2 linked regions of the Cricetulus griseus genome follow. The protein of the gene in region 2 interacts with the protein of the main gene of each other region in a pairwise test. Links are inferred from orthologs where the notes say so. Each region holds a gene or a part of one and is shown on either strand. Other genes may lie near its edges.

The links.
Region 1: the proteins of Cltc (region 2) and C3H10orf88 interact in binary tests that used the Homo sapiens proteins (3 or more experiments, as listed by UniProt). The link is inferred for Cricetulus griseus from reciprocal best matches to the Homo sapiens genes CLTC and C10orf88.

The regions. Positions count from the first base shown.
Region 1 is NC_048596.1:69,504,200-69,508,024, forward strand, and holds part of C3H10orf88 (ATPase PAAT), read left to right. Parts: intron 1-1,587; coding exon 1,588-1,794; intron 1,795-3,825. UniProt on the Homo sapiens protein: ATPase that regulates mitochondrial ABC transporters ABCB7, ABCB8/MITOSUR and ABCB10. Regulates mitochondrial ferric concentration and heme biosynthesis and plays a role in the maintenance of mitochondrial homeostasis and cell survival.
Region 2 is NC_048600.1:99,942,268-99,946,092, forward strand, and holds part of Cltc (clathrin heavy chain 1), read right to left. Parts: coding exon 3,758-3,825; intron 3,677-3,757; coding exon 3,509-3,676; intron 3,415-3,508; coding exon 3,265-3,414; intron 3,177-3,264; coding exon 3,045-3,176; intron 2,963-3,044; coding exon 2,852-2,962; intron 2,050-2,851; coding exon 1,879-2,049; intron 1,662-1,878; coding exon 1,440-1,661; intron 310-1,439; coding exon 289-309; intron 1-288. UniProt on the Homo sapiens protein: Clathrin is the major protein of the polyhedral coat of coated pits and vesicles. Two different adapter protein complexes link the clathrin lattice either to the plasma membrane or to the trans-Golgi network.

The sequences.
Region 1 (3,825 bases), on a different chromosome or scaffold from region 2:
CAGATGATAATCAGATTTACTGATTATATAAATTTTATATAGACTGTAGTCTCTGGTCACCAGTGGTACAGACCTTTAATCCCAGGACTTGGGAGACAGAGGTAGAGGCAGGTGGATCTCTATGAGTTCAAGGCCAGCCTAATCTACACAGCAAGGTCTAGGACAGGTATGGCTACATAGAGAGACCCTATCTGAAAATACAAACAGACAAAAATATACTGTAGTCAATGATGAGAAAGGCTCTTGGGATTATACAATATAAAGGAGACAGTGGAGCCCAGTATGGTGTCACACACTCAGCTAGGTCTATGTAGTGAATCCCAGACCATCCAGTAAGGGAAGTAATAATGAGGTAGAATATAAATTTAATGAGCATTTACTTAACTGTTGAGGACTGACATATATTTGGTATCACACTCAGTGTTTATAGAGCCTGTTTTTTTATTGACCTGTGTCTTTGTGACAGGGGTCTATGTATCTTTCAAAGTGAATAATTTTTGTGACTGTTCTGTGGAGCATGTGTTAATCTGAACAGTTTTCAATTAGGGAATCCCTCTGGCATGTGTGAAAGCTTGTGTAAATGTTCCTAATTCATTATTCTTAGCACTTAGTGATACTTAGTGGCTATTTTGGCACAAAAACCTCCATGCAAAGTTATCTTACCATCCTCTGGTTTAGTCTTAGCATTTGCCTATGGTTGCGCAGGTTATGAAATAGAAAAATTCAAAATTTGAACTCAGGTGTGTCTGATTTAAAGCCCTTCCCTTTATGCCACACATGACGTGTCTTTTGGTTCAGGAACATGCACAGCCTAAACTGTCATAGTGGTGGGAATACGGCTTAGTGTCGAGCACTGACCTAGCATGAATGAGACCCTGGTTACTATTCTCTCAGTACCCCAGAGTGAGTGAGAAGACACCATAAACAAAAATGGAAAATCTGTGGTAATAAAAGCCAGGAGAGCTGGGTTCCAAAGCTTGACTTACGCCACTAAGTATCCTTCACCCTGTTAGAAACTCACCCCGAACTCCACTTTTTATGTAAACCACCAGTTATTACGTGTTAAGTAGTTCTGGGATCACATCCCTTCATTTCTAAACTACAAAAGACTGAAGAATGGGTAGGATTTAGACAAATGCTGTATGGGCATCTGGACAGTTTTATTTTATATTAAATAATATTAATGCCAACTGGGGAATGCTAGGATTGAGGGCTCTTAGGATACAGAGGATTCAGACCTGGGCCCTTGAGCATGCTAGTCAAGTGCTCTACTACCAAGCTATACCCACAGCCAGCTGTGGCTTGTTTTTAATTCCTTAGACCAAGTAAACAAAGATTTCATGTTCTTTATGTGTATTTTATGGCTTGGGAAGGATTTCTATATTTAAATAGTTGATATTTGCCTCATGATACATTGGAATTTATTTTCTAAGTTTGACTACTGTAAAGAAAACTTTAAATGCACTTGAAGTTAATTTTAGACTCTTGAATGCCCTGTCTTGCTTTGGTAATATTAAGAAGTCATCTTAAGTGATGGTTGTTTTTAATACCACTGTCATTCCCTGGAATGTTTTTGTTTCATGATAGTTGCTGTCCTTCGGTGAAAAGCAGTGTGTGCTCATCAGTAAAGTTGTGGTGCACGTGAGACCAAGGTCAGCAAATCCTTCACCAAGCTCTTCTGCTCTAGGATCACGGATAGACCTTGACAGTATCCAAACCATAATGGAGTCCATGGGGTCAAAGTTATCTCCTGGAGCTCAGCAGCTGATGAATATGATTAGGTTTCAGCAGCAGGCAAGTAAAGATGTATTTTGTTAAATTTTAAAATGCTGGTTTGGGGAGATGGTTCAGTCGGTAAAAGACTTGCTGTGCAAGCCTGAGCACCTGAGTTTGGATTCATAGAGTCCATGTAAAAACAGGAGGCATTATTAAATGTGTCTGTAATTTCTGTATTCCTACAAAAAGATGGGAGGTGAAGGCCTGATGTTCACAGGCCAGTTAGTCTGGTATATACCAGTGGGTTTAGACCTTGTTCAAAAGAGGTGGAAGATGAGAACTTGAGTAAATCCTCTGACTTCATAGCTCCCCTGCTTCCAAATACACACACACACACACACACACACACACACACACACACACACACAGTGCCCCTCCAAAAAACTCCACATTTTTAATACTGACCTTTAATATGACAATATAGTATATTAATTTTTCTCTTAGTTTCTACTATTGTTTTAACTGTCATCTATTTTTAATTTTTAAAAAAAGTCACATTTTGTAGACTTGCCTTTCTACAAATGTTCTAACTGCATAGCTTCAGTTTTCCCCAAATTCATTTTATGTGTTCATTTGGCAGAGAACAAGACTCTGACTTGCTCCCTTTTGAAGGAATAAAGGTGATCAGATAGTGTGTAGCCAGTCTTTAAGCTTTCTATCTGGGGAGTGATGAGATTAAGGGAGGTATACTGAAATAAGAGGCATTTCATCTGGGCTGTTAAAGAGGAAGGTGGAGTTAGTCAGGTCCATCTAGAGCTTGGTTACTTTAGAGAGATGCTAGTAATGGATAAGATCTTCAGTGCTAGAAGGAGTAGGATCTAGCTGAGAAATGAAAGGTGGTGAGTAGAGAGTAGAAATTTAAAGATTCATACTCGATCATGGAGATATAGCACATAGAGAGTTCATTTAAGTTTGTAAATGTCTTTGGCCTATTTTTAAAGAGATTTTATTCCACTATTAATGTGGAAGGTAAGTCAAAGGAAAGTAAGACTATAACAGAGAAACCAGCAGTATGTGATTTCCCTCACCCAGCTAAGAGGTGATGGAGTCTAGGCTAAATGTTGTAACATGATACTAGGTTGGGAGATTAATAAACCATGAAGCATAGAGTCATTGGGACTATACCGTTAATTAAAGGAGAAAAATAAAGTCACATGAGAAATTGAGGCTTTGAGGATGGCATTACCAGAAATATAGATGGAGCCAATGGGATGAGGACACTTGGTAAAAGGAGTCTAATTTGGGGAATATCAAATATAGCTGTGAACAGGGATTGCCTGGAAGGATATTTTAGCATTTGTAGACAGGATCAGGAGAGAAGGAGGTAGCTGTCTAAAAGGGAGGTTTGGGTGATGTACCCACAGTAGGAACCCTGTGAACAGAGAGGCTGAAACTAGAAAGAAAGACTCTTGGAGAGAAGCTATAATCTAGCAAAATATGGGGAGAGGAAGGAGGCACCAGAAGAACAGAAGGCACTGGTGTGATCAAAGAGAGGTTTTAATGTCAGGTTAGCTGAAGCTAAGCTGTTGTTCTGTCACTCAGTAGTTCTGTTTCCCTCAGCAAGGTCAGCCACATTTTTTTAACTAATGAAATTCTCTTTTACAAAATTTAAGTGATACCATTGTAAAGACCACAGTATTGATGTGGAAATTTAAGGCAAATACTGCAAAAATTTGTAAATGTTGCATGGTTTCATTGCTGGAGTCAGGGCAGTCCTGGGGTATGGGCAGAGGAAAGAGAACCAGGAGAATTGAGGGTTTTAACCTTTAAAAGCATTTTAACACAAGTGACAGTCTTGGCTATGGCTGCTTGGATCCCTTTTCCAGACATTCTGATGTTCCTATTCCTTACATGTTGCCACCTCTGGGCCTATGTATTCAATTGTTTGAATTCTTTGTTTTGTTTTCTTTGGCTAGAATTCTTCTCCTGTGATATTGTACTATTCTCTTACTCTAATTTCACCTTAGCCACAATAGTCTTAATTAGATATTCCCTGTCACACAATTCTTAGTAGCACATCCCTCTTAATCATTATCACAGTTTCATTTG
Region 2 (3,825 bases):
TAATATTGAAACTCACCATGCTCAGTTTTAATATATTAAAGAGAGACTGTGAACCAACTACTGATTAGCCTCCTGCCCTTCCTAAAGCCTATTAGCCGATTAGTAGCAAACATCTACTAATGTCCTACAGCTCTATTATAGTTATGTTTCAAGGGACTTGCAGAGGCTTAGTGAAAATTTATTGGGGGGAAAGCAGCAGCAGCAGTGTAGAAAAGGAAGGAAAAAAATCATGCAAATTCCTTAGACTTAGTCCTCCAGACTTAAAGATGGAAAAGAATCAACTTTCACCTTTTCCTTTATTGCATCAACCTGCAAAGGAATTCAGAAGGTGCAGCTTAGAAAAAAATCAAATTCCATATTGAGCATAAAAAGGTAGAATCAGCAACAAAGGTTCAGGGGAGAAACATGTACCCACTAAAAAAGGTAGGAGCGAAGTGGAAGTCAAGGGCAAACGGAAGCAAAATTGAGAATCCTTTTAACTTCAAAGCTCACTGCAGAAGTATTTATGCTAAGTCAGTGTGAAAGGAAGCAGCTTAATGGCTAGTAATGGACAGCACTTAGGTTAACAGCAGCCAGGTCTCAAAAGGTGGCATTATGCATAAGAAAAGAAGCTTGGCTCCCCTGGGGCTAAACTGGGGTAACTCTTTTAATCACACTGAACTGAACTTACATAAAATATTATTCCCTTAAAAAAAAATCTAAGTGCAACATGAGGTATGTAGGTAGGTGATCCCTTGAGGAAAAAACTTTCTATCCTGGGGTTTATTTGTAGTGTTTCCCCCACTTGTACTCAGGCATGCTGAAGAGAACAGAAGTGAGACTTGATTTGTTCTGACAAAAATGGATCTTTTAATATTATTTTTCTATGCATAGCTAGTAACTCAGGACAAGCAAAATCTATTCTAACATTAAAAAGAGATGCTAACATGAACAGTAAATTTTATAAAGTGGCTGTCTCCTCAGTTTATTTAATGTGTATTTAGGAAACATGGGTAATTGCAAATTTCCTATTGTATTTTTAAATTAGATATCTGATTACCAAAAAAAAAATCTGTGATGACTAGCAGGCTGTTAATACAACAGAGCTTCCCCATGGGAAACAGGTAAAGACATGAAGTCAGAAACCAAAGGGAGTCTACAGAAGTATATATGGAAATCTGAGTTATAGGAATTAATTTTAAAATGCTATTTTAAAAGATCTCAAATATTAAAACAGAGAGTGCTATTCACTTGAAGAATACAGAGAGGGTAAACAATGACAAGCTTGAGTTCCCTTCCTAGTCATGGCATCTGTCAACACTTAAGAAAAATTCTATGTAATAGGAACATTTTATGATCAACTAAACAATTTATATTAGAAAAAATAAAACTAATATGCATGTAGAATTGCACATATTCTCAAGATTATTAGTTTTGAATATACTTCTAAGCGTCATTACCTTGGTCAAATATTCCTTCATGACCTGGATGAAATAGGGCATGGCAAAATCCATGATATTGTGCCTCCATGCCGTTTCCAGGACGACATCTGGCCTTAAAAGATCATAACAGGTAAAGAGACAAGCCCCGAAGCACTCTCTTTTTTCTTCCTGCAAAAACCACTGTAGGAGTTCTTCAGCCAATTCTGTATCTTTAGATTCAGAGGCATACTGCATCGCGTCCTATTCAGAGAAACAATGAAGGTTAGAGGTTTATCCAAGGATGCTGACACAAACCAGTCCTGGAAGTTAAAAAACAAAACAAAACAAAACAAAACCCCACTGACTAAAAGACCACATTCACAAAAGAGAGTTACACTACCAATTCTCATACCCATGAAACTAACACTTGTAAGACACTATCTGAGTTGATTGGACAGCCCACCCCCACTTTATCAACCTTGTAAAGGCTGTCTTTCTTGCACAGCTCTACGCTCTGTTTCCAGCGATTGTTGCCTTTGAAGAGATAAGCAGCAATTCTTCTGAATTCAATGAGTTCATGTTTTTCCAAACGCTGAGCAAGTGAGATATTGTCAAAGTTGTCATAAGCATCTATTGATGTTCGTAGAGCCTTAAGAGACAAAGCAATTCAAAAGTCAAAAAGGCTTTTACTTTTAACATTTATTTTTCACAATTCATTTTGATGCAGGCAATTAGATGATAGCATAAAATATAACAACATAGATTCAAGCATCAAACTACAAAAGTTGTAAGCTGGATTCAGATGTCAATCTTCTTCATCTACTTCTAATACAATAAATAAAATCCTCAAATGTACTGCACAATTTTCTGAAAGGGCAATCTGCTCCAAGGTTTCCAGTACTGATACTAACTTGAATAGCTATGGAGCTGGGAGAATATGTAATATGGACAACAACTTATGCTGCCAGGAAATAATTCATAAAATTACATGATATTCAGCCTTACAGGCTAGACTATGAGCCTAAAGGAATCATGCTGATCCAGAAGCCAGATTCTGAGGCAAGACTGCACTTTATGCACTACTAGGCAAGTTCCAGTCAGGTCAACAATTATTAAGTGAAAGAAAACAAGGCAACTAGCTTAACCTAGACATTTTCTATTTATGTGCTATCTTTCACAAAAGCAAATTTAAAAGACAAATACTAAAATATGAGACAAATACTAAAATAAAGAAAAGTAATAGTTTTTTTTTTTTTTAAAGAAAAGTAATAGTTAAGTACTTAATAACAAGTAAGTTTTATGGACTAACTGAAGAAGCCTAGGCACCCACGTGCCTGCTTCTTTATAAATGTAAAGGTAACAGTAGCTTTTACCACAGAACCTGTTTAAAGCCAACTTTAAACCTAATCAGAACCATGTTTTAAGTATTTACAAGAATCCAAAGGTTTTACCTGGTAATCTTCTTCTGTAATAAAGAGGTTGTTCAGTGACTCATTCACAGATTTGTTGTTGTGGTTCTGAACTGAGCGTAAATATGGTTTCACCAGTGGTAGCTGTTTAACCTTTAAAATAAAGTTTGTTAGAAAGATAGCCATGGTTGAAGGTCTATGAATCTTCACTATGAAGTCGGTTTGAAATGGTTACCTTGCTGAAATAATTGACAGCACGAGTGTGATCCAACCGTGGAGACAGCACCATAAGCAAGTCATTTAACAACAGAGGCTTGAATTCTAAGTAGAACTGGATTGCTCTGTAGTACAGCTCCACATTGGCCACCTAAAATAGGAGAAACCCATGCATTAAAAGCCAGTTCGTCCCCAACGAGCCCTGTCTTTCCACAGCCCATATCTCTGAAGGTATATACCTTGGTGATGATGTCTTTGAACTGCCCTTCCTTCCATGCATCAGTGGGATGGTTCATCATGGTGATTATGGCATTATCATACTCTTCATACTTGTCATACAGGAACACCAGCTCTGCCCAAAGGTGGGCTTGTTCTGCAGCTCTCAGCACCTGCACAACATAGACCAGTCGTGTAAGATGTAAGCCCAACTCCTGCTATCAGCCTAAATGATTAGAGCTGCCTTACAGTGGTGAAGATTGTTACCTTAGGAATATTCACTCTCGACCAGAACAACTCCAGGTGTTCCCTCATTTTCTGTGGCTTGAATTTAGAATACAAAATAGCTAGTTCGGTAAACATTCCCATGTGAGCTCGTTCTAGTCCCAAGGCTGCCTCCAACATGGTAATGAGTTCTTCAAAATATCCACGATCCTAAACAAGGGAAATGTGCAATTAGAGGACAGAATATCTATACAAAGATCTCAATCCATATAAAGGTCTGGTGTTCGTTACCTGATAGTAGTTGATAAGTTCCTCTAATTCATCTGCATGTACTACAATATGAAGTCCACACATCTGAG